Notamacropus eugenii: one gene and its partners. The protein of the gene in region 2 interacts with the protein of the main gene of each other region in a pairwise test. Links are inferred from orthologs where the notes say so. Each region holds a gene or a part of one and is shown on either strand. Other genes may lie near its edges. The genes, in order: FSBP, ATPAF2, EWSR1 and RAD54B.

Region 1 (7,317 bases), on a different chromosome or scaffold from region 2:
TTAGAAAAAAGGAACTTAAAAACCAAAGAATATATAAAACAAATTGTACAAAGTAGTACAATCAGACATTCTTATTCATAGTGATGCTTTTCCACCTGAAGATTGAACAAGGCATTTGATAAAATCAATAGGTAAATTATTTTATAGTATTACTGAAATCATTAATAGTTAAGACCTGGAAAAGACTTTCAAGATTTAGTCCAATATCCTTACTTTGGACATGAGAAAATTCAGAAGTAGAGATGGTAAGTAACTTGACCAAAGCTGGGATTAGAGCTCAGGTCACTTGAATTACAGGCTCTTGTTTTAAACAAACAAAAAAGGTAATGAAAAATAAGTTTACAGAATTATTTTCAGGGAATCTGATATTAATTAGTTACATTTTAAACTGTTCAAATTGTATAATAAATATCTATAATATTAAACAGGAAAAATATTAAAGGTTATTAATATTAGGAAAGGAAAAGAGGTAACCCTTAATAGAAGTAGGAGAAACGTGAAGACAGGTGGGAAAAAGAAAAATAAAATGTAGAAGACAGCAGAAAACTACAATATATACATTGTACAAAGTAACAAAGTATACAATCTTTTAAAGGCATTCTCCATAATCCTACTCAACCTAGGAAAAGTTTGCATACTTTGAACATTCATTATAGAGAATGCACATCAACTAACTAGTTTCTCTAATACACTCAAATTTCTAGACAGCATTAAGTGACAGGCAAGCACTGGACAGAAGAGCTGGTGTTTATTGCAGCTCTATTACTGATTAGTTAAATTACCTTGAACATGTCATTTCAACTCCATAAGCCCAAGTTTCTACATCGAGAAAATGGAAATAATCATAAACTATTCACCTCCTAAGGTTAGTAAAGGGATCAAATGATCCATTGTACACGAACCTTTATTATTAAAGTATATTTCATTGGACAGTTCAAAAGGTAAGCAGACATAGACATTTATACTTAATTCTCAGTAACAGCATTTTAAAAATATATAATCCAAAATCTAAGCTTTGTGCATATTTTTCCTTGCAATGAAGCTGCAAACATGAAACTGTACAAAGACATTGTACATGCAACTCAAGAGACCTTTTCCCCTACAATACTAGAAAAAAGCATTTTCTGATAACTAGCTAGTGGAAAGCTCCTATAAATTTCCCTGTTATTATATGTTAATTTTGAAAAGTATGTCAGGCTAAGACAATCAGTAATCATTCTATTTGTTTTAACTATGAATTAGATCGCTCACACCGACATTCTATTTTCCCCTATTTGTCCTATATTGTCAACTAATTATAACCAATATCTAACTGTAAAAATGAGTTCGTTGTTTTTTTTTAAACATCTCTCAGCTAAGTATAAAAACAAACTGATATCACGTTTGGGTGATAATTTTCTTCTTCTTGCCTTCTTAACGTAAAAAATATTTCACTATAGAATAACAATTCTAGAATTATAAAGTCTACACAAAGAGGAAAAGCTCTGGAAGTTTTATTTGGAGGACATTGGTTGCTGAATGAATGAAAAGTCACACCTCTTAAAAGGAATCCACAATAAATGCAAATAAAAATTATCTAATCAGAGTAGAATGCTAATTAAGCTGACCTTTTCAGCTTTCATACTATTTAAACTTGGATGTGTTAAGTGAATGTCCTGGATGATTTTCAGTTGAGTGGCTAAGTGTACAAATTTAACCAAAATTGAACACAAATGTCTGTCTACTCACCCTAAGAAAAAAACTGCTTGTGGAGATATTATTACAAGTTGGAAGTTTAGCATAGTTAGGAAGTTTTAAGAAAAAGCTTTCATACCTCCATTTTCACCTGTGACTCAGATCAAAATAATCACTTAATGAGTGCTAAAATACAACAAAGGGAAATTATCAATCTTAATTTAGAAAAAGCCAAAAAAGCAAAAACTTTTCTACTTAAAAATAAATGTTCTAATATAGAACAAGCTGGCAAAAATTATTTAAACTTTTTCTTAACATGCAAAATAATGTTCTCATTACTCATTAAGGGTTGTAATTAAATTGTAAAACATTAGAAGTATATCAACTATCTAGACTGAATGATAATTTATGAATACCATTAGGAGGTATTAAAGAGTCAGTTTATCTTCCATGATATCAAATTGAAAATTTATTGAAAGTTATACATAAAATATAGTTCTTATGAGCAATTTGCCTAAAATGAGCAGTAGAAGTGAAGGGATAACTTTTTTGAACCTCTATTTACATAATTCACTATTAAATGAGATAAAGGATATGGGTTGCGATCACAAACTTCATCCCATTTATTTTTTCAATCTCACTACCTGGAAACTGGACAGAAGTAAATATAAACACATAAAAATAAATTTAATGCAGAGACATTTACAAGTTGACTTTTTTGCAATTAACAAAGCAAAACAAAGGCACCATTTCCCCATCTGTACTGGTTTACTGTGCACATCTGTATCTCAGTATGACAGCAAAGCCAAGCTCAAAAGATAGGAGGCGCCATAATTTTCCAGTAAAAAAAGTAAAGTAAACCTTACCTTTGTATATTGTTCTTGTCTCTTCCTAGGCATACACTGGAAAGCTGGGGAATCATTTCCACAACTTTCTTGGTTGGCTCAGAAATACTGCTCCTATGATCTAACAGAGTCTCCTTTTGCTGCAAGAGCTCCTGTTTGGCGTTTTCTTTGAGCCTTTTATAGAGGGTACGCAGGCCTTGTGCTGTACGAGGAGGGCGATCTACTTCAATAGCATTATATGTATCTGCTATGATATCCCAGCATTTGTTCTTTTCCACTATTACTGAATGTTTATTAGTGTGCTCTTCAAGAATTTTAACATATGGCTTCACCAGATTTAGCAAATCAAGCTTTTCAGATAATGTAAAATTAGAAGATCTAGCCTTTCCAACCATTGTTATTTCCGAATTAAGTAGGCAGTTTCTGAAACCACCATGCAGTCTCTGGCTCTGCTCAGCTCTTTTTCACAAACAGAAAAAAAGATCAGGCTTAACTAGGCTAGCCTCATTTAGGCCCACGCCTACAGGGGAGGGTTTATTAAAATTCCTCCAGCTTAAGCTGACGCAGGTTCAGGAAATCTGCTTAAGCCAAGCCTGACCTACATAAGGCTTTTCACTGAAGAAGACAGGAAGGCACAAGTAAAACACACTTGTGTGTAAAGAGAACAGCCCTAAACAGGATTTAATACACAAAGGTCCAAAGATAAGCATGGTGCCCTCCTAAAAATTACCTAATTTAATGAGAATATCTGTTTCTCGCATGTGTTATCTAGCTGATAAACTGAAACTGCATTGTAGCTTTGCTTTTAGTGAGGACAAATGAAGTAAAAACTGTTTTGTGCTATTTATTTGCAAACACAGGAAACAGAAGAATGAAAAACTAGAGTGGCGTGTGTAGAAAGATCCCTAACAGAGCCCCTGATCACTGTTCCTGAGCTGCTGTTCTCCCTTACAGTATTTGCATAATGCTAGTCCTGCTGTCAATCATGAATTGCATATCCTCTAGCTAGTTAGGTTACACCCAGACTCAGACTCCACAGTAAAGCTAAGCTTCCCCTCCATTTTCCAGTCTATCTTATCCTCTGGTACAGTTTTTCTTAAAATGTAAAAGGTTTGGTTGGAAATATGATCTAAAAACTGAAGGTGGTAAGTAGGACTTCCTTTCTTTTGAGGAATAAATTATTCTTACTACAATGAAACTCTTAAATATATGCTAATATGCTATATCATATGTAAAATCACTATTCATTGAGACCTAGCAAAATCAAGCTGTAAGACTGCAAGCAATAAAAAAATGCGTTTAGTATTATAACAGAAACAGATATTAGTTTAGCTCTGCGTGCACGAGTAAACACACACACACACACACACACACACACACACACACACACGGGACCACAAAAGGAAACAGAGCAGTAGTATCAGTTTGTCACATTGGTTTGGACATTTGAATTCCAGTCTGAATAAAGCAGTCATTACACTTATTTTCTCTAGGATTACAGAGATTTTAACATATGTAAATGAACTATAATGCATCTAGGCCAATTCACTACCACTGTCATAATTTCCAAACTGGTCTTATTAATTCTTTTGAGGACGAGACATAAATAGAGAAGCAACTCATAGCATCTATTATTACATTACTCATGTTCAATCAATATATTGACAAGCATTTATTAAATGGCTTCTATTGTGCCAGATACTAGGGATACCATGGCAAAAGTAAAACAGTACTGCCCTCAAGGAGCTTACATTCTAAGGAGAGGAAAGGAAGGAGGGATAACATGCTGCAGCAGATTACTCTACAAAGCTGTCTGTTTAAAAAAAAATTTACATTTTAAGTATCTATATAAAGGAAAAAGTGGTAAACCAGAGAATAAAAAGCTAAGGAAATAATATTGTATAGTCTAATCTTCCTTGAATAATAAATACTACAAAAGTTCCCTCTTGAATATCAATATCCTGAGAATTTCAACTTCTTGGACATTCTAGGAAGGCAGAGATCAGGGAACTCACTGCTTTAAAGTGAATGAAAAGAGAAAGGGTGAGAAGAGTAAAGTAACTTGCAAGATGTTAGAATCTATAAAGAATTGCTTCAGGAATTCTACATCTACTGCTCCAGGTTCCTGTTGACAGGGCTGAGAAAGGAGTATTTAAATGCAACAAGAAGCAACATTATCATTCAGGGAGGAAAGCAAAATGACCTACGGTTTGAGGGAGTAGACTAAACCAGGCCGTACGGAGCTAAGTGAATTTCCATACCAGGTACTAGTATATGGTGAATGAAGTTAGTAATAGGTATTTTAAATAGATAAAGAAGTACTTTTCAATAATTACAGTAGCTTATCACAGCCTTTCGTGGACAATGAATGATTGTCCCAGCATCAACAACAGAAACAGAAATAACATTTATCATTTACATTAATCTACTGTTTTAACGGTAATAGTCAATGTTAGAGGTATAATGGGTCTGGTACATGTGCAGAGCACCTTGGGAAGGCTTCTCCCCATGTAGAGAAGCTGAGGCGCCTGATACTAGAAGATCTGGAATGATGTATAATGGAAATACCTTGAAAAGAATGGGAATCATTTGACTTTAAGTCTAAGAAGACTTAGATATTCTCTAACTGGTTCTGGTCTGCTAACCATAAGGTTAGGGGGAAGCTTTTCTCAACTAGTTGAGTAACTACAATGAAGATATCTTCAAAAGCTAAGCCAGCCTCCACCTAGGTCCTTTGGTCATTACTACTTTATGTGTGCTTTGGTGGTGTAACTATTGGGACATTCTCTCCTTCTTTTAGTGACCCTGTGTGAAAAGACTTTGGTCTATGGCCTCTGTGCTTGATCTTTTCCTGTTATAGGTGGAGGGAATGGAGCTTTCAATCTTGAATGTTTTCAAAAGTCAAGAGAACAAGACGCAGGAACTTGTGTCTGAGTCCACGCAGGGTTTTGCAGCCAGCCCAGCAGCACCAATGTCCTGAGGGGAAAGGAGTGATCTTCAGAAATGATGTTCTGGACTCAGGTAGTTGAGATGAGGACTTGTTGATACTTGCGCTATGTGGACCTGAATTTGGTGGGTCCAATACTGGGCAGGAACTGATCTAAGACAAGGTTGCTGAGGGAAGAGGGGTAATATTTTAAATTTCTTCTTTTTATATCATCAAAGTAAATATCCCTCAGTAAAAGCTAATTGATATTATGTGGGTAGTGGAACTAGGGCTGCAAGTCTCTACTGATTTACAAAGGCGGTAGGGGAAGAGGATACAGTGGGAAAGTGGGGAACCAAGCCCATGAGAGCAGAGAAGAAACCCCTCAAAACCCAGCAGTTATTCTAGAACCTAGAGGAACAAATGTAGCTGACCTGGCTCTCAGCGAGTAAAGCACACAACATACTAGGTAGAGGTACTATGGACAGTCAGGTACACAATACCCTGTTGGTGAACTTGTGAATTGGTTCAATCATTGTAAAAAACAATTTGGGATTATGCAAAAAAATTACTAAAATGTCACTGAATCACAGAGCACTTCATCAACCACTTAATCCAACAAAAATAGGAATAACTCATACACAATAATAACAGCTAGCATTCATATAGTACTTTGTTTGCCAAAGTCCTTTACATGTGTTATTTCCTTTGATCCTGACTACAACATCATATTATTATTACTCCATTTTACAGAAGAAGAAACAAAGCTGAAGAGATTAAGTGACTTACTCAGAATGAATTGCTAGTAAGTGGTGGAGGATTTGAATTCTAGCGTTCCTGATTCCAAGTTCACAACTTTGTCTACTACACTGAATTTCTGAGGGTATGCACTGATAATATCTAATATAAATTTTAGACTTTAAGGGTCAGACCTCGAATTAAGCCTGGACCTAAAAGCCCCTTTGTTCTCTAAAGTAAACTCACAGAATGCCTCTTCCTATGTCAATAAAGGTAGATAGGACTGACTTAACATTCCTTAGGAGACCTTTCTTAATATTTATAGATATATATTATGTTATGGCATGTTAATGGTAAAGAAAACACAGACATCTTGGGTCGTAATTTCTATTTGAAATTGTCAAACTCTGTTATCTTTTTGTATTTACAACCTATGCAATTAAGAAATTCCTTTCAAATGGTCTAGTTAATCACTTATGGAGACCATAAATCTGGACAAAGACTACCTTTTCTGTTCTAAAACAGATTTAAGCCTGTAAAATTTTGTTTGAGATTAGTCAGATTAACCTCTGGCTCCCTAGATCTATGTATTGTTAACTTACAAGGGAATTAAATAATAAATGTGCATTATTATTTAATAATAATTAAATTTTTTAAATTTAAATAATTTAATACATAAATTTAATTTAATTTAATTATAATTTAATTAAAATTAATTTAAATAATTAATAAATAAATAAATTTAATTTAAATAATTAAATTAAAAACAGGCATTTAGCCTGTGGCCTTTTTTTTAACCAAACTTTCAGGTCAACAACACCCAAAGAAGGAAGGCTATGTCAGAAAGTAGGAACAATTTAATTACTTTATTAACATAATTCCAAATGGCTTTCCTGAAAGGTTTCTTTCCTAGCTCATTCATAGCTCCATCAAACACTTACTTATCTTCCCACTGCCTATCCAACACCAGTTCTGATTTTTATTATTTTTTAGCAACTGTCTGGTATTTAAAGGCTTCACAACCTGATTCCAATCTACTTTTTTCAATTTATCCATTATTCCTCTTGATAACACTCTCAGGTCCAACTGTTACTAACATAACCTTTTACCTCAGGTGTCTGTCCCATCTCAATA
Region 2 (7,653 bases):
ATAAAGTATCTGCCCAAGACATTTGCCTATGACTCTCCTGACTTTTTAAAAGGATGGACATGACAGAGATAGGTCCAAGACTTCCATCTACTGACACATAACCAGTTGGCTCAAAACACTACTTTTAAGACCTTTATTTTGGCGCAGACCTTAATATGTATCCTGCCTAATGGTATCCCAAAGAACACAGTAACTCTTTTAAGACTAACTCCTTTTTTGACCTATGCCTGTGTGATGTCAAGGTAGCAGACTTTAGGGAGCACTTTTCAATAACCATCAGGCATTAGCTTTCTCTAGCCAGTTATATATACATAGGAACTGAAGAAAAGCCTCTTAAAAGATGATCTAAAACAACATCCTGTTTGTAACTCTTTCAGTTTTAGTTATCTCTTTCAAAATACCTCTGTACCCGTTTCAATTTCTCTATACTAAATTATCAGTCTCATGATTAAACAGTTTATTCATATGTTCCTAGTCTGTCCATTATTTTATACTAGTCACCATCTTTTATCATTAACATGAAACTGGCAGAACATGATGCATATGTATATGATGGGGCTACTAGTAGCTGAAATACTATTTTTATGTCTTAAGAGCAAAGTGTTAGAAGCACCAAAAAAATTAAAATCATAGGAAACACTTTGAAGGAAAATAATTTTTATAACTTGTTATTTAAATTATAACAATTTGTTATAATTTTTATTATAACAACTTAAAAGTTTAGTTAGCAACACTAACTAACCAGAGAGGTTAGATGTCTATATTTCTGAGTTTAAAACTACCATAGCCATTTTAAAAATAGACACATGGGATATTTTTAAGAACCACAAAACTCCCCACAACACCAAAATTCAAATGTTAAGAGGTATTTGGAACATCTTTGTAGCAGCTGGGAAGATAGGGAGATTAAAGAGATCTTGTGAATGAAATACAAACACTTAGAAATTTTATATGTATACCCAGGAAGAGAAAACCTGGGGTTCAAATCCTATCTTAGCCCCTTCTCATCTACGTAACCCTGAGACAAGCCAAAACCTTCCTGGGCCTCTCACTGTCCTCATGTCTAAGGCTGGTTGGTTCAGTTCTAGATCTATGATCCTATGTATCAAAACAAGTCTTCTACAGAGCCAAAACATTTGAGCACGGTTTTATGTGACTACCATACTGCATGTGAAAACTGTATTTTAAAGGCTTTCATGTGTTGCTAACCTTAGGAATCCAGCACTGTTTCATGAAACCAACCTGCTGCAGGCTGCAATAAAGAACTTTTACCATAACAATATATATATATATTTGTATATTACTTCACAATGATAAAGTGCTTTCACATATTTCTTGGAGTCATATATATTATTCTGGATGGATCATCACAACTGTGATATTTAGCATACATACTATTTTCACTTTGTGGATGAAGAAAGAGATTAAGTCTTGCCTTTCTCAAGGTCACAGCTGGTTAGTGGCAGAGTTGAGTTAGGTCTTTCTAATTCTAAGACCAACAATACTCTTTCCACTACACAGCACTGCCTAAATTATAAATGACATATAAAGTTCTAATCTACAACCTTGTCTATATATGCAGCACTCAATGAAAAAACATATATGGGGGTTTAACAAGTGAAGGAAAGATACCAGGGTGACATGGATATTGATGAGATGGGCTGTGGTTGTTTTGTTTTTTGTTTTTGCATCTGTGACCTGGCTAATATATTTTAAGAATAACAAAACATCAAAGAACCAGAATGTCCTACATTCAACCCAATACTTCATCTATTCTGTTTAAACTGACCATTATGAAGCTTGGAATTAACAAGGAGAAGATTAACAGTGTATATTGTAACTAGAGTGTAGATGAGAAAGATAAAAGAACATGTTTAGCAAAAAGGAGCCACTCAGCACATCTGGACACAAAGGTGCTCTCTTTATATTCCTTCCACAGTGTCCTAAGATTTCCTTTGCACTTGGCTTCTTGGATAGCAAGAAGTACACTGCAGCAAAAAAAAATGTAGACCCGGTAAAATGCATGATATGATAGAATTCTTCTCAAGGCAGAACCTCAAGAATGAATACGGTACAAGCAAACAGGCCACAGGGACAGAAGTAGCCAGGTCCTAGCTGATGGAGCAACAAGAATGCTAGCTTGATGAACGAGCTCACCATCCACCTGCAGAACAAGCACAGCCTTTACCTGACATGACTACAATCCACATTAGAAAGTTCCGTTTGAGCTAAGATGTCTTATAGCCAGCATCCATGGGCTTCTACTTTTAGCTGTCTTAAAGTTCCAGTCCTCATCCTGATCTAAAATATCAAATTCAGCAGACTCATTCTTATCCTTTTCCATGATATACATCCTCACCTGCCCCAAACTTAGGTTGTCCTCAAATGTGGAAAAAGTGAATTATTGAGATTAAGGTCCCAAATTAGAAATCAGGGTCACAAAGAAGACAAAAACATTTTCATCTTTACAATTTATGGCTAATCTCTAGAGCTCTCTTTCACTAAGACGATTTCTGCGATGGGTTGTAAAAGACATTCGCAACTACGCTCTAGAAAGGACACAAAATTTGGGAAATGAAGAGAAAGCCTATTATATATTGTTTCTAAAATTCAGGAAGAGCACAGATAAATCACCACATTTTCTCTTAATATAAACAATATGACAAAGGATAGCAGCTAAGTTTTCAGGCCTGAAAGAAAATCATCTACCTTCCCTAAGGGAAGAAAAGAAGAGAGGTCCTCTGGTATATAGACTAGGCTAACTAAGAAGAAAATGGTTAAGGCAAAGTGCACTGGACATCTTCCCATTCCAGGAAAGGAGAATAATGATTTCCACAAGACAAGGAAAAAAGGTTTGTTTTGCGCTCAAGAACAGGGGTCCCTAATCTGGGATTCATGAACTTGTTTTTAAGGTGTCTTTTGACTAAAGGCCTATTTGATCTGAGGCAAGATGCTAGACCCTCTTAGACCAAAGAAAAAGGCATGAGTAAGGAGCAATCAAGATTGTCCATCCCGTTCACACATCCAGGACAAAATTTCACATCACCACCCTGGGCAAATTCCTCCTAAGTGGCACGGATGTGCCAGGAAACATTTCCAAAGCCAGCTCAGGGAGAGGAGGTGATGTAAGAGGCAAGGAGGACCTCTTTAATAGAGGTTCACAGAGAGAAGGAATGCTGTCTGAAGGGAGGGGAAGCTCACTGGGGGGACTAACCAGACCTCTTCCTCAGGAGAAGTGGGAGTGGTTGTTGGTCAGGTTATGAAGAGGAAATAGAGGCGAGGTACGGAAGAAAGTTGCCAGGTTTCATGGGTTATTTCAACCAGGGAGCAGGTCCCCAGATGAGGAGGAAATGAGCAGGTTCTCCAGGGATCAAAGCCTTTCTAATGAATGGGTGTAAGGCAGGAGAAGAGGATGTTCTGTGCAGCAGAGAAAGGTGGAGATGAGGGTGGGGTGGGGCAATATCAGGAGTGTCGGGGCGGGGGGCGGGGGGGTCCTACGGACAGAAAAGGACAGACTGATGTGGACAGAAGGAGAGCGGTCAGTGGGTGACTCAGGGAGGCCCCGGGAGGAGGGAAGGACAGATATAAGATATCGGGGGGCACGACGTCTGGTGGGGGTGAGGAAGGACCGAGTAGGAAGTCCGGGGACAAGAGGGGAGCAGAGGCCCCGAGGTGGAGATGGGGAAGGGAAGGCCCCCGCAGCGGTCGGGGGGTGACTCAGGGAGGCCGGCCTGGGGTGCGGAAGGACAGACGTCTACGAAAAGGGGGAATTGGGCCAGAGAACTAAGACCCTGCTTGGGGGGGAGCCCCCCACCCATTGCTGGGGGTGTCAACAATGGGGGGGAGTTCCAGGGGCCGGGCATGGGGGCCTGAGCACGGGTGCGGACCAGGAAGGGAGGCCGGCCGCGGGGAGGCCCGGGCCGGGCCGGGCCGAGGAGGCCGCCCGCCCGCCGCCCGCCGGGCCGGTACCTGCAGCACCACCTCCACGTCGTACGAGTTCCCCTTGCTCTTCTGGTGGCCGCGGAACTTGGAGCCGCTGTAGAGGAGGCTGGTGGCCACTCCGGGCTGCTGGGTGTTGATGGGGGGCGGCGGGATGAGGGACGCGGCGGACGCGGCCGAGGCTCCGGCCGGCGGGGGGCACTCGGTGCGGACCGGCATCTCGGGGTCCCCCGGAGCCAGGGCGGTGGGGTGGGGGAGGGGGGAGGGGAAGGGAGAGGAGGGGGGAAGGGAAAGCCGGGGAGGGGGGAGAAGCCGCCGCGGCCGCCGCGCGGGAGCCGGAGGAGGGCGGGCTGACCGAGGGGGCCGGGCGCGCGCAGGCGCGCGGGATGAGAAAGGGAGGGGAGGGAGGGAGGAGAGGGACGCCCACCCCGCTATTGGCCGACAAGCTACTCTAGCCGCCGACGGGTGCGGGAGGACTAGAGAACGGGGGCTCCCCCTCCCTGGATGCCCCCCCCCACCCCGCCCCTACCTACACACTCATGTGCGCACGCGCACACAGACACATACCCACCCACCCACACACATACTTACACTCATACACACATAAGCTAATTCAGGCCAATTGGCTCTGACCCGGTGAGGGGGCGGGAGCAATTTTAGCCGCCGCTTCTTCTTATTGGTTGGCGTGAGCCACACGTGTCCAGAGGTCGAAGGCCCGCTGGGATATGTAGTCTTTGCCTAGAGACGGAACGAGTTCGTGACGCTGATTGGCTGGGAGGGCTCGAAGGTTAGGGGACCGGCCGGTAGTGGCTCAGGGTCATATGGCGGTGGCCAAAGGAAGTTGAACTCAGCTAGTGGTGGGAGAACTCTGCAGGCGGGTCCGGTGCAACTGCCCCAACCGTGAGAGGTTGCGGTCTTTCTCCTTCACGCCCTGGGGTCCCCTCCTCGATTGCTCCCTGTCCCCGCCCAAAGGTGCTATGTGGCGAAGCTGCTTTCGGCTCGGGGCCGGAGGCGCGAGCTTCCCACGCCGTCCTTGCTTGGTCCCTGCCGCCCCCGTAGAGCCGGGGGACCAGGCCGCGCCGGCCCCGGGGCTCTGGCTCCTCCGCCGGGCTTACGCCCCCCCCGCAGGTGAGCGCAGGCGGGAGGCCCCGCTGCGGCCGGGCCTGGGCCGCAGGTAGCTCGGGGGGGGCCGGAGAGGGGCACCCGCCATGGCGGGATGGACGGACGGGCCCTGCAGCCCAGGGGTCACCTATTCCAGGGAAAACATGTGGAAGCGTGTAGCCCTAATGTATGGAGGTATATGTGTGTGTGTATATATGGATATAGATCTGCTTATATTTGTATCTGTCTGTCCATTCAGACCTACATCTGTCTGTGCCTATAACTAGGCATGTGTAGATTGAGGTAGATCCACGTAAGTAGGTGTATGTGTAGATATGTCTAGTAGATTCACCCTTTATAGATGTGTATAGCGATATGTACATATATGAAGATAGAGGTATAATCCTATTATATATAATAAATTACATGTATCACTGTACATGGTCCCAGGTTCAGTTAATTTGGGTTTTAATGGTAAATTTACCTTGGGAAAAAATTGACAAAGAACAAAGTGGAAACAGTGCATTTACTCACTCAATCTTCATACTCGCTTTTCGGCCCTATCGATGATATACTGAGGTATTTTTTGGTTGAAAGTTGGCTAGAAAATTTCTACTGCAAGTTAAAATCTGCAGGTGTCTCGTTTTAATATTTTTAATAAATGGGTTCAAAACCTGCTGAAACTTTTCATTTAGAAGATTTTTAAACAGGTTAGAAAATTGTTTCCAAAGCTGTTTAGGTTTTTTTTTTTTTAACTTTGAAGATATGAGAGTTTATAGATGACAACATAGCATTTTTAGCAACAAAATCACATGATGGAAATATTTCCAACCTTCCATTTTCCAGTGCTCTCTTACATTAGTTCTTTCAAAAACCATTCTCATTCTTAAAACATTAAAACTCATTAAAACATCACCTTTATATTGAAAGAACAGATTCAAGTTAATTTCTTCTTAAATAACTGCTAAGTACAGTACTATTTCTGACAACCACTTTCATAGCAGAAACTATCACTTTTTTTGCTAAAAGAAAAATGTATAACATCTGTAAGTTTGGTACTTGGTTATCACTGGCTATTATATATTATCTATATTATCATATATAGTATATATATAACCAGTGAACACCTGTATTGTACAGCAGATTTTCTGGTTACTTCCCAATCACATTAAACATACATACTGCTGCTTTCTCAATAAAAACAAGCTAGAGTGATTTAGTAATAGTGATCATTTCACTTTTCAAAACTTTGATGTGAATGTTAAGGGTGTGAATTAAATATTCAGTCAATTTGATTGATGTGGCTAACCAAACAGATGAATTTTAATATTTCTCCTTTAGAGGATAGGACTATCCAAGAGGCACCAAACCATCATGAGGTGATCTGGGGGGCAGTGTATGTGTTTGCTGGGGTTCGGGGGATTGTGGGAGATGCATTGACATACCTGCTGGGATTGATTGGTTTTAGTGATGGAGTAGAAGGGGAGAGGTTTAGGAGCTGAAGGCAAAGTGGGGTAGTGTTGGGCAATAATGGTTGAAGGGGGTGCTGGGGTTGTGTTTGAGAGGTGCCTGATGATTGGATGTCTAGGCAAAGGATAGATGTAACCCATCTTCTGACTGGTTGGTCGATTGGTCGTACTCCACTTCCCCCTGCCCTTCCTAGTGGATTGTCCCATACATTTTCTCCTGATTTTTCTTCAGATTTTTCCTGGTATAGAGGAAAGCAGAGATCTTTATGAGTTCCTGTAGATGAATTCTGACAGCTACTTTGCCACCTATTCTCTTGGCAGCAATTCCTTATCTGTAGACTGTCTTTTCTAACTTGAAATATATGATTGATGTCTCCCCTTTCCCTCTCTATACTGCAGAGGGGGCAGGGCAGGGAGAGAAAGGGAGTTGGCCTGGCCAGTTAGTGGCCAGTACTCTTTACCCTAATATAGTTGCTATGGGAAAGATTTCTGATCTGTCTCCACTACCTAGAAAATAATTTACGTTGACTCATTTAGAGTTTTTATCATATAAGGGAACTTGGTAGGAAATTTACTCTGTGGAAAATTCATCATGTGGCAGATCTTCCTGAATGAGTCGATGAATGAATGAAGCATTTATTAAGCACTTATCATGTATAAAAAAACTGTGGATATAAATAGAAAAGTAAGCCATTCCCTCCTTCCAAGGAGCTCACATTCTCCTGGGGAAACTCCATATGGAAGGTTTCAGCTACAAGTCAGATTGAAAGGTCCCCTGGTCCTTAGGGTACAGCAGCAAAGCAGATGGTGATGATTGATCTTCAATGCCATTTCCACTGACAAAATCCTATCAGTTTCTGTGTTGAACCATTTGACACTGGATTGAAAGCACTACAGTTCCAAAGAGAGATGTTGGCTGACCCAACTGGTCTGTGATGCTTCCTGTCTCTCCTTCAGAATGCCCTGCAGCTTCTTCTGAGTGGGCTTGCTTGACCTCCTCCATCCAATAGTTTCATATTCAGTCCTATTCAGTTGATCTGAAAGAACTCAAAACAAAGGCAGTCTAATGCTTTGTGTTTGCCCTGTGTCTTTCCTCCAAAGAGTACACAATCTAATGTTGGAAGGTCATGGTTAAAGGTGATCT
Region 3 (6,834 bases), on a different chromosome or scaffold from region 2:
TGTCCTGTAGGACCAGATAGCTTTCTTGACCCCTTAACCTGTATTTCTTGTTACCCAGTGGTAAGAACATTACATTTGGTCCTAACACTTTGAGTTCTAACCTCCTTAGCTCCCTCCCTCTCCACCCCTTCCCCTTGAAAGACAGGCAATTCAATATAGGCCATATCTGTTTAGTTTTGCAAATGATTTCCATACTAGTTGTGTTGTATAGGACTAATTATATTTCCCTCCATCCTATCCTGTCCCCCTTTACTTCTATTTTCTTATGGTCCTTTCCCTCCCCATGAGTGTTGACCTCGTATTGCATTCTCCTCCCCATGCCCTCCCCTCCATCCTCCCCCCGACCCTGCAGAACCTATAATATAAGAATAAAGTTCAAATAGGATGCTAGCAGGTGGCAGGCTGGCTTGAGTTTTCCCTACCATGGGTTCCAGTCTAGACTTCTCTTCCACCACATTGATCTGCCTTATAGATACATAAGTGACTGCCAGGTCCTCTCAATTACCCTTCCTAAAGGGTAGGGACTGGGTCTTCCAAGATTTCAATATGACCTACAGAATCGATAAAAATAGTATGTACCCTGAAGGCCTTCAAAGGGAGTTCATCATTAACCTTCACAATTTATTCCACAAATATTTTTAAGGATCTATCAGGTATAAGGAGCTCTAAATTGGGAGTGAATAAATCACAACAGCTGCCCCCAGGAAGGTTATAGGGGAGATAAGATATGGGTTTAGTTGATGCGTGGGGTTAAATCCCATCTTCTGCCTCTTCATATCTACAAAAGCTTCCCAAGGCCTGAAATTTGCTCCCTTTTCACTTTCCCTTCCATCAAAGCACTGGGATTGGTGCTTTTTTTGGGCTCCTAGACCAGGCCTTCCCTGATCTTTCTCAATTAGCTGTCAATTTATCAGGAAGCATTTATTAAGCATCTACTACATGCTAAAAGAAAGGAAAAACAAACTTAAAATCTAATGAGGGAGGCCCCATGCAAACAACTACGGATAAAAGAGGTGTATGTGCCCAGAAAATTGGAGATGATCATCAGAGGGAAGGTAATGGGATGAAGGAGGATTGGGATAGACTTCTTGTAGCCAGGAGTTTAGCTGAGCCTTGAAAGAAGGCAGGGAAGTTGGCTGCAGGTAGAGATGGGGAAGGAGACGATTTCAGGCATTTCAGTGCAAATACCCAAAGGTGGGAAATGAGAGGGAGGGTTCTAGGTTGAGGAACAGCCAAGAGGCCCATGCCACTGGATGGCAGAATGTGAGGATGGCATCAAGACTGGAGACATAGGAAGGCACCAGGTTATGAAGGCTTATGAACATCAATCAGGGTTTTCTGTTTGATCTTGAAGGAAATAGGGAGCCTCTGGAGTTTATAAAGTAGGGGGTGGTGGTGACATGGCCAGACCTTCATTTTGGAAAGATCAGTGTGACAAGTGGATGGAGGATGGCTTGGAGTGGGGGGACTCAAAGCAGGCAGACCCTCCCTGCCCTAGCAAGCTATCACAATAGTCTGTGCCTGAGGTGATAACGGTCTGGACCAGGGTGGGAGCAGGGGCAGAGAGGAGAAGGGGGTATATTCGAGATATTTACAAAGATAGAAACATGAGGCTTTGGCAATGATTGGTAAGGGAGGAGGTGAGGATGATATCTAGTACCCTGGAGAGTACCAGGGACTGGGGAGGGTTTTTATTGGGCAGCAAAGTGTCAAAGTAGATAAAGACTCATCTTCCTGCGTCCAGCACAGCCTCAGATATTTACCAGCTGTGTGGCCCTGGACAAGTCACTTCACCCTGTTGGCCTCAGTTTCCTCATCTGTAAAATGAGCTGGAGAAGGAAATGGCAAACTGCTCCAGTATCTTTGCCAAGAAAACCCCAAATGGGGTCACCAAGTGTCAGACACAACCAAAAACAACAGAGTTTTATTAGCACATTCTCCCTTCTGAAATTAACATTAGAGCCATTTGTGTACCTGTTCTATCACCAGTAAACTATAAGGTCCTTGAGGGCAGGTGGGACTCTCACATTTGTCTTTGTCTTCCCAGCTAGTGCCCTGCATGTCGTAAGCACTTAATGTTTGTTGACCAGAAATAAATCTGAAACAGTATTTCAATCAACCAACATCTAGGGAGTGCTTAGCATGTACCAAGCCACATATTTCCATTGTGGATTCCTCTGGATTCATGTTTTCTTATCCGAAATGTCCCATAAAACATCTCTCGGCTATTCTGGAGGCTTTCCTCTGGCTATTTTTAAATTTGGTGGGTAGCAGTGAACCCACTGAAACATCAAACTATTATCTCTTGCTCTCCATACATGGCTGGGTCATCTCTTTTGCAGATCATACATTTAATGATATTCCTTTCCACCAAGATCTTATTGTGAATATGCTGGAGAGGGGTAAAGGTCTATGAGTGAAGAAGGATGGAAATAGCATCGAGTTCTTTTCGTGCAGTGATTGGCTTTGCCTTTTTTTCTCTTCCTCTTCAAAAAATCTATATATACTTTTTTGGTTACAAGGCATGTCTCTCAGGTTGAGGACAAAAGATATGGGGGGAAATGTAGGTGATAGCAAAACCAAAAGGTATCGCTAAAAGCAATTTTTAAAATGTGGAGACGGCTTACATCTCTCAAAAGACAATGAATAAATAGAATTTGTTACAAGGGTTTTCTTTTTCAACAGGGCAGGAGACAGAGACAAGGCGAATTTTTGTTCATTGAAAAAAATCAAATTTTACTTAAATTTAAAAATTGAGTGCTGGCAGGAACCCCAGAAGGCATCTAATCCAATTCTCCAGCCTGCATTTTACAGGTGAGAAAGGTCGGACAATTTGTCAAGGTCACACAAAGCATCCTAGATTTGACTTCACGTCGGACACTTTCCACTGTACCGCGTGGATCAGAATAGTATGTGTCCAAGAGGATCCTATGGACTGGCTGCGAGTTCTTCTCCGGACCTCAGCTCCCTCTACTGTAAAGTGAAGGGGCTGGACTAAAAGAGGTCCGGCGACCGGCTGAAACTTTGAACCCAGATCAGGCAGAGGATCCATGCATTTGGAGATAGGCTTGGGGTGGGGTCTGAGTTCAAATACTGACGGTCTGGACAAGCCAGTCCCCTTATGGGTTTCCTCTTTTGTCCGGGTCGGGCCCCCTGGGCGGACTCGGGCCAGTCCCTTGTCCCCTCTGGGCCTCAGTTTCCTCATCTGTAAAGTGGGGCATGGAGGGGCTGGGCCCTCCCAAGGTCAGCTCTCCGGGAGGGGGAGTCGATGCCCCTTGGAGGGGCAGGAGGCTGGGGGGTCAAACCCAGACTTCCAGAGCCAAGGGTACAAAGACCCCCGGCCATTTCAAGACTCGGAAACTGATACGCCAAGTGCCATCGAAGCCCGGGCCAGCCACGTGGCTCTCCCTCTGGCGGAGCGGGTCCCAACCTGGCCCCCCCTCCAGACTCCCCCCTCCACGATTAGTCAGCAGTTGTGCCACGGCCCCAGGATCCCTTCCCCCAACGCTCCGGCTCGTCTTCGTTTTTCCTCGGGGAGGACTATTGTGGGACGGTCCCTAACAAACCCAGGACGGAACCATTCTTCCAATCTATGCCCCGTTGGGGAGTAGGATCGGTGACCGCCCCGCCCCCAGGGCTCGTTCGTAGGGGCGGTTCGTGGCGCTTCAGGAGATACTTAGACGCCCCCAGCCTCCCGACCCCACCCCCTCCCGACTGAGGCGAGAGTTGGGTCGGAAAGCCCTCCCCTCGCCTCTCTCCGTCTCCTTCGCCTCTTCCCCTCCCCCCCCGCGGACCAATCCTAGTGGTAGAGCCCGAGGTTGTGCGGTCCGCGCCTGCGCAGTGCGGCGCCGAGAGGGCAAGCGACCGAGGGAGAGAGAGACGGACGTTGAGAGAACGAGGAGGAGGAAGGAGAGAAAATGGCGTCCACGGGTGAGTATGGCGCCGGGGCCCCAGGGCACGCCGTGCCGGCAGCCGAGGGAGCTGAGGCCTTCGGGGTTGGGGGCGCCACCGCGGGGGTCTTCTCGGGGCCTGGGGGGCGGCGGGTGGAGGCGGCGCTGCGCGGCCGGGCCGCGGGGCGGGCTTGGGGCCTACCTTCGCCCTTCTTCCCTTCCCCCTCCCCCTCCCCGCCGCGGGCGGGTGGGATTCTGGAACCTTCCGCCGCCCCCCTCCCCCTTCCCGGCGCGCGGGCGGGTGGGCGGGGAGCGGGCCGGGTGGGGGCCTCGGCTCGTTCGCGGCGGGGGCGGGGGGCGCGCGGCGACGGCGGGGGCGCGCGGCGGGAGGGAGGGGGGCGGCCGTGCGCGCGCGCTCCCGCTCCCGCCGCTTCGCGCCCGGGTTCGCGTTGGCCCGGCCGGGCCGCCGTCGTCCGCCCGCCGCCGCTTCCATTGTGTCCCCGGGAGAGGCCTCCCCGCGGCCCGCGCGCACTTCCCGCCACGTGGGCCGGCCCCTGCCGGGACCCGCAGCCGCCACGCCCTGCGAGTGGCCGCTCCTCGAGGGCAGGCGCCGTTTGCTCCGCTGATGCCCCGGAGCCGCCCTGATGCCGGTGGGAGGGCGCCTCCGGGCGGGGAGCTGCCTCCGAAGGGGTTCCCCGGGGGCGGGACGGGGCTGGGGGCGTTAGCGGAGGACCTGTCACCTGCCGCCCCGCGGCGGCCGGAACCTGCCCGTTACAGCGGAGGAAACTGAGGCAGGCCGAGGCGGCGAGACCTCCCCCTCCGGTCTGGGCCGCTATGGCCGGTAAGCCAAGCCCAGCCCCTGCCCTCGAGGAACGCCCTGGGGGGGCGGCCGCCGCGGGACCCCCTGAGCCCGGGAAGGGAGGGCTTAGAGCGGCTTGGCCCCTCCAGCCACGAGTCCGCGAGGCCTTTGTCTGCCCTGCTCTCGGCTGCTCTCCTGGGATCCGTGGTCTGGACGGGAGGGGGCCCGAGGGGCCGCTTCGGGCCTTTTAATCCTGGGCTGGCGGACGCTCTCAGAAGTAAGCTGGAAGGGGAAGTGCTGAGCTCGCAGTTCTGGACGAGGGGAAGCGACTTGTTCGTTTGCCCAGATTTTGAAAGGGAGCTGGGATCGTGCTGCCTTTGGGAGAGACTGTGACTTTAGAACCCCTGGAGTGCCTTCGTGGGCCTTCAGGCGGTTCTGAGAGACGGAGTCCGCTGGCCCTACCGTCTCTGGGCGTTAGAGTGAAACAACGGTAAAATCTTGTTGGACTGGAGTTGGAAGGGATCTGCTCTGAAATGTAAACTGTCTCCACAGTTTTCTGTTATTAGAAGAACTTTGCGTTATCTTTTCCGCTAATTTGTTTTTTTGAAATTAGCAAATTCGTAGATAGGTAGAGGTACCCAGAGCCATGTATCTAGGTAGCTCAACTTAATGGTGTTTCCGTGGATTATTCGGAATCTCTGACCTAAAAAGAACAAAAGGCAGGACTTATCTTGAATTATGGCTAAGTAATATTTGTACTTTTTGGCTTCCAGGATTGTTGGAAAACCTGGGTTGATTAAGTGTATGACGAGAGAATCTTTTAGCTAGCTTTTGGGCTTAAGGAAAGTTGTTGACTTATTAAGCTCTATGCATTAGTTTAAGATGTAATTGCTGTGAAGGATTTCATGCATTTAGGAATAAGCCAATTCAAATGTAATTAGCTGTTCCCTCCAACTTTCCATGAATTTGTTTTATTTCCTGGGGGTATTTGGAGCCTCTTAAACTTAATGGTTGTGGGAGGGAACTGAGAGGACGTTACCCTACTTAGGTCTCTGCCCCCTATTAGATACTGCCCTGAGGCACTCTGGCTTCTGGCTTCTATCCCTCCGTTGAACAATAAAACCTGGGTCTTTAGATACAGACCTAAGTAAGATGGGAGTGACCCTAGAAAGAAACCTTTGTGTGAAATGCACAAAGAATGGGAAAGTGTTTTTCTTTGCACTCTACCTACATTTCTCCTTCATGCCTTTCGAAGAGGAATTGCTCCTGCCAAAACCTAGAGAAAGGGGGGAAGTAGATTTTGAAAGCTTCTCCTTCTCTCCTGCAGCATGTAGTATTTGATTTTGATAGCTAATCTAAAGATATACTTGTCCTTGATTGAATTCATTCGGTATAGGAGCATTGGGTGGGTAACTAAGTCCCTAAAAGTGGCTTGGTCAATACTTGTTGACTTTAACGTGTTTTTGCTCTACTCGACCTGAGGAGGGAGATATCCTTCACTAAAAATTTATGATGTATCTAGTCTGACTACTGTTGTTAATAAACTGCATTCATTAAGGTGTGTCTTTGAAGTCATTCCCCACCCCCAATTTTATGGTCTTCTGCACAGTGAGATTGGATTTTTAACTTCTTATGGTTCCCACTGGTACTTTGCATCCCTTCTCAGAAAGTTTTTAAATGCAGAAAATAAAATAGAGGATTACAAAGGAAGCCAGTTATAGTTATAAAAAAATTCTATGTATGTGGACCCCAGATTAATGACCCTGGGACTAGATGGTCATCAGAGATTCTCTTTCAGTTTTGGAGTAGTTTGTGTAGACATTATTTTATCTTCAGACTTAATAATAATAATGGCTAACATTTACATAATGCCTCTGTGTTTCAAACATTATGTTAAGTCCTTCACAAATACTATCTCATTTGATCCTCACAACCCTTCCAAAGGAGAGGGTAGGTGCTATGCTGCTATTTTCCTCATTTTACAGAAGAAGAAACTGAGACCGAGAGGTGCTAAGTGCCTTTCCCAGTGTCACAGGTGGGCTCAATTGGAACCCTGGTTTTCCTGACTTGAGACCTAGTGCTTTATCCACCTAGCCACCTAAACTTGTTATGCAAAGCACATTGTCCGAAGACATTAGATAGTTT
Region 4 (7,776 bases), on a different chromosome or scaffold from region 2:
TGGTGGATTTTTTCTATTTTAATTTTGCCTTCTGTTTCTAATAGATCTGGATAATTTTCATTTATGATTTCTTGCACTATACTGTTTAAACTTTTTAAAAAATCATGGTTTTCAAGAAGTCTGATTTTTACATTACCTGTCTCTTTGATTTGTTTTCCAAGTCATTTGCTTTTGATATCAGATGACTTATGTTTTACTGTATTTTTTCATTCTTTTGAGTTTTGTCCCAATATTTGTTATTGTCTGAAGAAGTCATTGGTTTCTGCTCAGGGCCAGCCCTGAGCTGTGGCCTGGAGCTTACCTCTCCAACTGCTTTACCTGGTCTTCCAACGGTTCCGGCCCCCTCCTGTGGGGGAGGGGAATGACCAAACAGTTCACCAGAGGAGCTGCTTACTGCACTTTATTGCTTACCCCAGTTCTCCCTACCTTCCCGTGTTCCCCCTTATATAGCCTGCCGTAGCTCCTCCCATGTTCCACCCTGGAGGCAGAGCTCAGCTCCGGAAGGGGTGTTCCCAGCACCCGAAGGCGGGTTCTCACCCCCGGGGTCTCCGGGCTCACCAGGGGGCCACAGTCCAGAGCTCGGCCCTCTACAGGTTTCTCCTTGGTCTGTTCTCATTTCAGGGATTATCTTACTTGGATAAGGATTGCCACTTTGTCTTCTAAGTTTATTATTCCCATTTCATTTCTTTCAGAGCTTTTATTGCATTTTTTTTCATCTCTTCATCTCTTCTTGATAGTTATACTACATGTAATATATGTGGAGTTTTTTTTCTTTGAGTCCTTGCTTTTAGTTGTGAAGTAATTGTTCTCTGCTTCTAGGTTGATTTTTGTCTCCTTTGCATCTATAATAATTCTTTTTAGTGGTGTGTCTTCTGCTTGCTCATCTTTTAAAAAAATTATTTTATTTTTAATTTATGGAGTAAAAGAAGCATTTCTACAACATAGTACAATAAAAAAGATGATTGCACATGAAACTGCAAACTGTTATGTACAATTTGCCATTCCTTTTAAATATACAACAACATTATTATGTAAATGTCTTTTTTTTTCCTTTTTTTCTTCCCTCCCCACTCCCTCTCCCTAGAGATGGCTACTATTAGACACAAATAGGTGTTTATATGTATATGTAAAACTATTCTATACTTGTGTTTATCAGTTCTTTCTCTGCATGCAGATAGCATCTTTCTTCATGTCTTTTATAGTGAATTTGGTTATTTATAGTAGACAAAATAACTTATTTACTCAAAGTTGTTCTTAAGACAGTATTACTCTTACTGTATACGTTGTTCTCTTGATTCTGCTCTTTTCACACTTCATTATTTCATGCAAGTCTTTCCATGTTATTCTAAAAAATCTTTGCACTAATCATTTTTTGCAGCACAGTAATATTCCATCATAATCATCTACCACAACTTATTCAGTCATTCCCCAATCATGGATATCGCTTTCTTTGCCACCACAGAAAGAGCCTCTATAAACATTTTAGAGCAGAGGTTTTTTTCCTTTCTGCCTAATCATCTTTGGAAATAGACCAAGTAGTGGTATTGCTGGGTCAAATGATATATATATAGATAGATAGATAGATAGATAGATAGATAGATATAGATAGATCAAATGATATATATATATATATACATATAGATAGATAAATAGATAGAGAGAGAGAGAGAGAGACAGACAGACAGACAGACAGACAGACAGATAGTTTGGGCAAAGTTCCAGATTGCTTAACAAAGTGGTTGGATCGTTTCACTATTTCACCAACAGTGAAGTGTCCCAATTTTTCCACATCCTCTCCAATATTTGTTTGCTCATCTTTCAAGCTTTAGTTCCTGAAATGTGGCTTTGTGCCAGAACCAGACTCTGCCCCTTACTGAACTTTTGGGTAGTGTGGTCTGTCCTGCTTAGTTTTACCTAGGTTCTTTCGCTGACTGATTTTCTTTGGTTAGGTACCTTAAGGTCTTTGAGGTTCAGAGTTCTGGATCATGAGAATATTAGGGACTTGTCCTGGAGAGTCTTAAATACTACAGCCCTGGACTAGAGATTCTGGGGTCCTTCCTATTAGCTTCTGACCTCCCAGGGCTTTCTTTGGGGAGTACTTTGTTCTACATACTTTGATACACAGATTCTCAACTCTGATGTTTTCCAAAATAGTTCAATGTTGTATGTTGATGACATATTTTTTCCTCCCATACCCAGGAAGATTCTTTTAATTGATTTGGTTGAGCTCTAGCTGACAGAGAACAGAAGAAGGGATAAACTTTAGCTCTGTTGGATAAGGTCAAGTATATGAACCATAAAATCTCCCATGAGAAATGCTGAGAGAGGACCTTAGGAAATATGACAGGTTCCCTACCCTAATATCATATTTCAGATACACTTAATCCTGCTCATGGCAGGCTACTAGTGACAGTGGCAATACTCTAGTATTACTTCTCTTTTGGGCATATATAGAATCTCACTAAATTCACTTCCCTGGAAGTGGTCCCCAACTGTGAATAGATATATTTACCTACTTAAACTAGGCCTTTCTTTATTCTCTACCTTGAGTCTTCTAAACCTTTTATTCTTTCCTTATGAGAAAAATGGCCATTCATAGGGAGTCATGGTCCAAATATGTAATGATAACCTTCTCCCTCTGACCTACTATTATTCTTGCTTGGCTCTTGAGAATACTCTCAGAATTAGCTTTTTCCTTCTTCCCCAACCATTTATAGCACTCAACCTGAGAGCTGCTTGGTAATGCCACAGATTTGCTTTCCCATTTTGTCTTTGTGACACATTTATCATTGTGCATGAGCTAAGAAGGGATCATGGTGAACGTTAAAAAAAAACCAAACATTGTTTTCCCCCAAAATTTGGAAGCACAAGCCTTTTGCTTTGTATGCCTAATATGCTAATCTCATAATTTGGGTAGACCTATAAATACCATATTCTCATTCTTAGCTATCATCTGGGCACCTTCCTAAACTTAACAGTGGATTTTTTTTAAACTCTCCAAGATTCAGTTATGCAAATTGAAGTGTATTGCTACTTGAAAGGCTGGCTGGCTCTACTACTGAATCTAAGAAACTTTTTACAAAACTTTAAAATTATTATAAACTTGATAGATGTCAGCAAGCATGATTATTTACACATACACAGAAGAATAAGAGTATGTGAAATCTTGAATCTCTGTTATATATTGCCTGGTTTTTTTAAGTATATAATAAATTTAATACTATAGTTCTAAAATTGTCCTGTTTACCTATGTCTCTGAATTTCCTTTTGCTGTCTTCTGGATTCAGAAAAACCCAGGTTCAAATCCTGTCTCATATACTAACTAGTAGTATGACCATGGGCAAATCACTTAATCTCTTTGATTCTCAGTTTCCTCACTGGAAAATGAGAGGTAGTCTCACTGATAGTCTCAAAGGTCCTTTTGAGCTCCATGTCTATGATCTTTTGAGCCTATGAACTACTGGGTTTGTACTCACCACCCCTTCATATTGATACCCACATTATTCTAGAACTCCCTGCTGCGTATTATTTTGGAATTTTTCACTCTATGTTCCATTTTCATCTTGGATCCCAATTCACCTTGAAGTCCAGGACATAATGGTTTTGGGGGTAGGAGGATATAGGTGAAAAAGTATTTGGAAGGGAAGAATGTTAGGAGAAGGGGGTGCTATGGGTGAAGAGAAAAGTGATTTACTAGGTAGAGGGATCTGAGTAGGAGTGAATCTGGGATACAGGATGAGCGAATGAAAAAGCATTTATTAAGCACTTAGTATGTGCTTAACCCTGAGAATCTAAGTGCAAAAAACAAGATAGTTCCTGGCCCTCAAGAAATTTAGATTCAAATTAGAGAAGACCACACATATTTGGAAACAGTGTTCCAGGAGGTGGATTGTGGTCTAGAAAATCAAGGAGATGGTACGTAGAGAATGATAGTGTTGATTTTTTTTTGCTACTACTCCCAGAATAAAGGCAATAAGAGAGGGATGAGAGGGGAGTGAGAAGCAGAAACATGGCAGGAATATAGCCAGAAAATATCTAGGGAAAGTAATTGTAAAAGATAAGAAGGCTGGATGCTGAAGAGGAACTGATGTTGGAGCCAAAATGGGCCTAGGGAGTTTGAGACTAGTATCAACTGAGGGAAGTGGGAGGATGAGCCTGAGGAAATTGATGGAATCAAATTTGACATGCGATAAGGTTTGAGGAGATTATGAATATGAGAAATGAAGAGATAGTTATATTTTCACAGAAATAAAAGAAGAACCTAACACCGAAAGAAAGAGTGAGACAACATAGCAGGACATAAGCAAGAAACTAGCTGGTGTAGATCAGAAGTGCAGTTTGGCAACAAAGATCCATTATTAGGTCAGAAGGCAAAGGCATTTACCCGTGGTTAATAAGCTCATACATATTAACCTTATCCTCTCCCAAGGTGGGAGCAGTGTATTTTAATATACATGTGATTCATGATGAGAGAGGGACAAGGGAAACACGAATGATGTGTGTACACCTCATAGCTATTGGAGGACTTTGGAAAGGATCTCATAGTTGGAAATAGGGATAAAAGCTGACTGTGCCCAGCACTTGGTGTGCATATGTATAGGAAACCAGCTCTTGCAAGAATGTAATAAAACACTTTCTTGCCTTCATTAGTTAAGGTCCTATTCCTTTGCAAGCATGTTTCTCACAATTTGGGGAGCTCATCTGGGATCCAGGAATCAAGGAGGGGAGGAGCCAGTATGGAGAATGGGAGGTATTATCTCATTGATTTCAGTGGCCCAGAGTATGGGCAAATGGTCCGCTCTCGAGACTGCCCAAGATCCTGAGACTGTTTGGGAAACTGAAGCCAGAACACTGAGATAAATCATTGGCACATGCCTGGCAACCAGGTAACTGTGCACAAATCAAGGTAAGAAAATTGGACTATTAAATATTACCTTGATGGTTGGGATCATTCTATAAGTCTGAGACTGAGTGTGTGTGACCAAGACTATTGGTACAAAGTGAGTGTGAAGCCTAGATCTGTTGTTCTGTCCTACAAGGGAAACACCAAAAGGGGTGAAACGGGGGAGTTCAATGGTCAGTCTGAAGTCTCAGAGGGAGGGTAGAATGGGGAATAAAGGAAGTAAGGCACCAAAAGGGGAGGATTCCCCTCATAGAAAGGAAGTGAATTCTTCTGTGAGCATTAGCATTCCTCCAGATAATCCTTTGGAGAGAAAGCTAAAATATTGGAAGAATATGTCAGAGGCCAAAGATAGAGATAAAAACAAAATGATCAGGTATTGTTAGTTTGAGTGGCCAAAGCAGAGTATTATATCACTGGCCATATGTTGGCCCAAATATGGGGCTGTTGAAGAATGGCTGTGTCAGGCTCTGAATGTTTTTGTTAATGATAAATAAATGATAAATAATCCTTCTCCAAAGAAGAGTCAGGTTACTTTGGAGAGGGAGTTTGACAACCAATTGTTCCCGCTCCAATTAGAGAACCAGGGTAGTGCTAAAACATACATGAGGGAAAGGGACCCTTGGAATTCCTTGAAGTCCCTTTCTCCCGCTTAATTGCTCCTGTCAGACTCCTCCTTTGGGAGAATTGCCAGGATAGATTTAAGTGACCTATGTAAAAGTCCAGGGTGTAAGGAACAAGAAGAGCCAGGAAAAAAGTCCGGTGTGTTCCCACCAAAGCTGGATGTTTTTTGATATGCTAGATTGAGGAAAGAACTAGAGCAATGCAAAAAGGATGTACAGAATCTCCCATTCCCTGAAATCCGAAGGGAGAGAGGAAGTGAGGGAACCAATGTACCTATTAAAAGAAGTGCCAATGGGGTGAGGTGAGATTGGACTTGTAAATGCACCTCTCACAGGTACTGAGGTCCAAAATTTTAAAAAGGGAATGAAATCTCTAATTGAGTACCCAATAGGGTTAGTTGAACAATTAGACCAGTTCTTAGGACTTAATTTTTACACTTGGCTGGAAATGATGTGTATAATGAACATATTATTTTAAGGGGAAGAAAGAAGTATTATTAGAAGAGCAGCCATTCAAGAATGGGAGAAGCAACACCCTCTAGGACTGGGAGTATGGCTGTAGAGCAGAAATTTCCCAATATAGACCCAAATTGGGATAACAGTAGAGTGGCTGATAAAGTAATGATGAGAGATCTGAGGGACATGATAATTAAGGGCATAAAGGAAGCTGCCCCTACATCATAAAACTTCTTTAAAGCCTTTGAGATAAAGCAAACCAAAGAAGAAAAACCCTCAGCCTTTTTGAAGAGGCTGAGAGATCAGATGAGGAAATACTTGGGAATGGACCCTGACCCCTCAATGGCAAAAGGATTATTGAAAGTGCATTTTGTGGCTAAGGCATGACCTGATATAAGAAAGACAGTACAAAAGATAAAGGGCTAGAGTGAGAAGCCATTGGAGGAACTATTGTTGGAAGCACAGAAAGTGTTTGTGAAAAGAGAGAAAGAAAAGCAAAAACAGAAAGCTAGAATTATGGTAACTACTGTGAATGAGATAATGAAGAAAAAGCATGAACAAGGAGGATATAATTGTAAAGGTGGAAACTGGGGGGCTGAGAAACAAAGGAGTTATGGAGGAGGAAGGGGCCATAGAGGGACTTTTCACCCTGTCCAGCAGACTGGATCTTTCCATTGTGGGAAACAGTGACATTTTAAGAAAGAATGTCCCATTCTGGAGAAGGAAGAAAGGATTATTCCCCTGATGAATTTTGAGGAAGATCAGGGGAGTCAGGGGTTTTCTTATATTAGGTTCCACTTGGAACCCCTGACAAACATCAAGGTGGGACCCAGAGAAGAGGATGTGGTGTTCTTGTTAGATATGGGGGCCGCTTGGTCCTCATTGAATTTCAAACCAACAGATATCAAATTCTCAGATCAGAATCTAACTGTTTCTGGGGTTAAGAGAGGGGTATTTTCAGTACCCATATTTGAACCAGTCAGTTTAATGTTAGGACAGAGGCAGGTCACAGAGAGTCTTCTCTATATCCTTGAGGTGGGAACCAACCTGTTAGGGAGATATATAATTATACAATTAGTCTTGAAAACAGATAAGAATGAGCAAATAATAATTGGGATGTCAATACTAAAAGAAGATGAGAGGACTATTGACCCAATAGTGTGGGCTAAGGAAGGAAACAGATGGAGATTGCAGATTGAGCCTGTGAAGATCACACTAAAGAATGAAGAAGCATTACGAGTGAGACAATATTCCATCCCAATGGAAGGAAAGAGATGACTCCAGCCAGTTTTGGAAAATTTGGTAAAAGATGGACTCGGAGAACCTTGCATGTCCTGCTTTTAACAACCCTGTTCTTGTCAGAAAGATGGTTGGAATGTACAAAATGGCTCAGTATCTGAGAGCCCTAAACAAAATTGTGATGATCAGACATCCTGTAGTTCTGAACCCTTATACCCTGTTAAGTAGAATTCCCTGTGAACACAAGTGGTTCAGTGTAGTAGATCTGAAGGAGGCCCTCTGGGCCTGCCCACTAACTAAAGAAAGTAGGTACTTGTTTTCATTTGAATGGGAAAATCCCTCCACAGGTAGGAAACTACAGTATAGATGGACTATACTTCCTGAGGGATTCATAGGATCCCCAAATTTATTCGGTCAGGTATTGGAACAGGTGTTAGATAACATCCTGCACCTCTAAGGGACAACATTAATACAATATGTGGATGATTTGCTAATATCAGGAAAAAAGAGGAAAGGAGTGGCAGAGGCCATTTGAGTTGCTGAACTTTTTAGCAGAAT

The links.
Region 1: the proteins of ATPAF2 (region 2) and FSBP interact in binary tests that used the Homo sapiens proteins (3 or more experiments, as listed by UniProt). The two-hybrid records come from large-scale screens. The link is inferred for Notamacropus eugenii from reciprocal best matches to the Homo sapiens genes ATPAF2 and FSBP.
Region 3: the proteins of ATPAF2 (region 2) and EWSR1 interact in binary tests that used the Homo sapiens proteins (3 or more experiments, as listed by UniProt). The two-hybrid records come from large-scale screens. The link is inferred for Notamacropus eugenii from reciprocal best matches to the Homo sapiens genes ATPAF2 and EWSR1.
Region 4: the proteins of ATPAF2 (region 2) and RAD54B interact in a two-hybrid assay, tested with the Homo sapiens proteins (2 studies listed by BioGRID). The two-hybrid records come from large-scale screens. The link is inferred for Notamacropus eugenii from reciprocal best matches to the Homo sapiens genes ATPAF2 and RAD54B.

What each region holds. Positions count from the first base shown.
Region 1 is NC_092875.1:158,658,793-158,666,109, reverse strand, and holds the start of FSBP (fibrinogen silencer-binding protein), read right to left. Parts: upstream 3,005-7,317; 5' UTR 2,915-3,004; coding exon 2,541-2,914; intron 1-2,540. UniProt on the Homo sapiens protein: Transcriptional repressor that down-regulates the expression of the fibrinogen gamma chain. Represses transcription of GSK3B gene promoter via its interaction with APBA1.
Region 2 is NC_092874.1:335,298,458-335,306,110, reverse strand, and holds the start of ATPAF2 (ATP synthase mitochondrial F1 complex assembly factor 2), read left to right. Parts: upstream 1-4,646; 5' UTR 4,647-4,916; coding exon 4,917-5,067; intron 5,068-5,120; exon of another isoform or gene 5,121-5,147; coding exon of another isoform or gene 5,148-5,235; intron 5,236-7,125; exon of another isoform or gene 7,126-7,653. Other genes in the region: GID4 (glucose-induced degradation protein 4 homolog), read right to left, coding at 3,970-4,158. UniProt on the Homo sapiens protein: Plays a role in the assembly of the F1 component of the mitochondrial ATP synthase (ATPase).
Region 3 is NC_092875.1:16,381,645-16,388,478, reverse strand, and holds the start of EWSR1 (RNA-binding protein EWS), read left to right. Parts: upstream 1-3,833; 5' UTR 3,834-3,917; coding exon 3,918-3,930; intron 3,931-4,327; exon of another isoform or gene 4,328-4,724; coding exon of another isoform or gene 4,725-4,731; intron 4,732-6,834. UniProt on the Homo sapiens protein: Binds to ssRNA containing the consensus sequence 5'-AGGUAA-3'. Might normally function as a transcriptional repressor. EWS-fusion-proteins (EFPS) may play a role in the tumorigenic process.
Region 4 is NC_092875.1:158,614,748-158,622,523, forward strand, and holds the start of RAD54B (DNA repair and recombination protein RAD54B), read left to right. Parts: upstream 1-4,775; 5' UTR 4,776-4,871; coding exon 4,872-4,906; intron 4,907-7,776. UniProt on the Homo sapiens protein: Involved in DNA repair and mitotic recombination. May play an active role in recombination processes in concert with other members of the RAD52 epistasis group.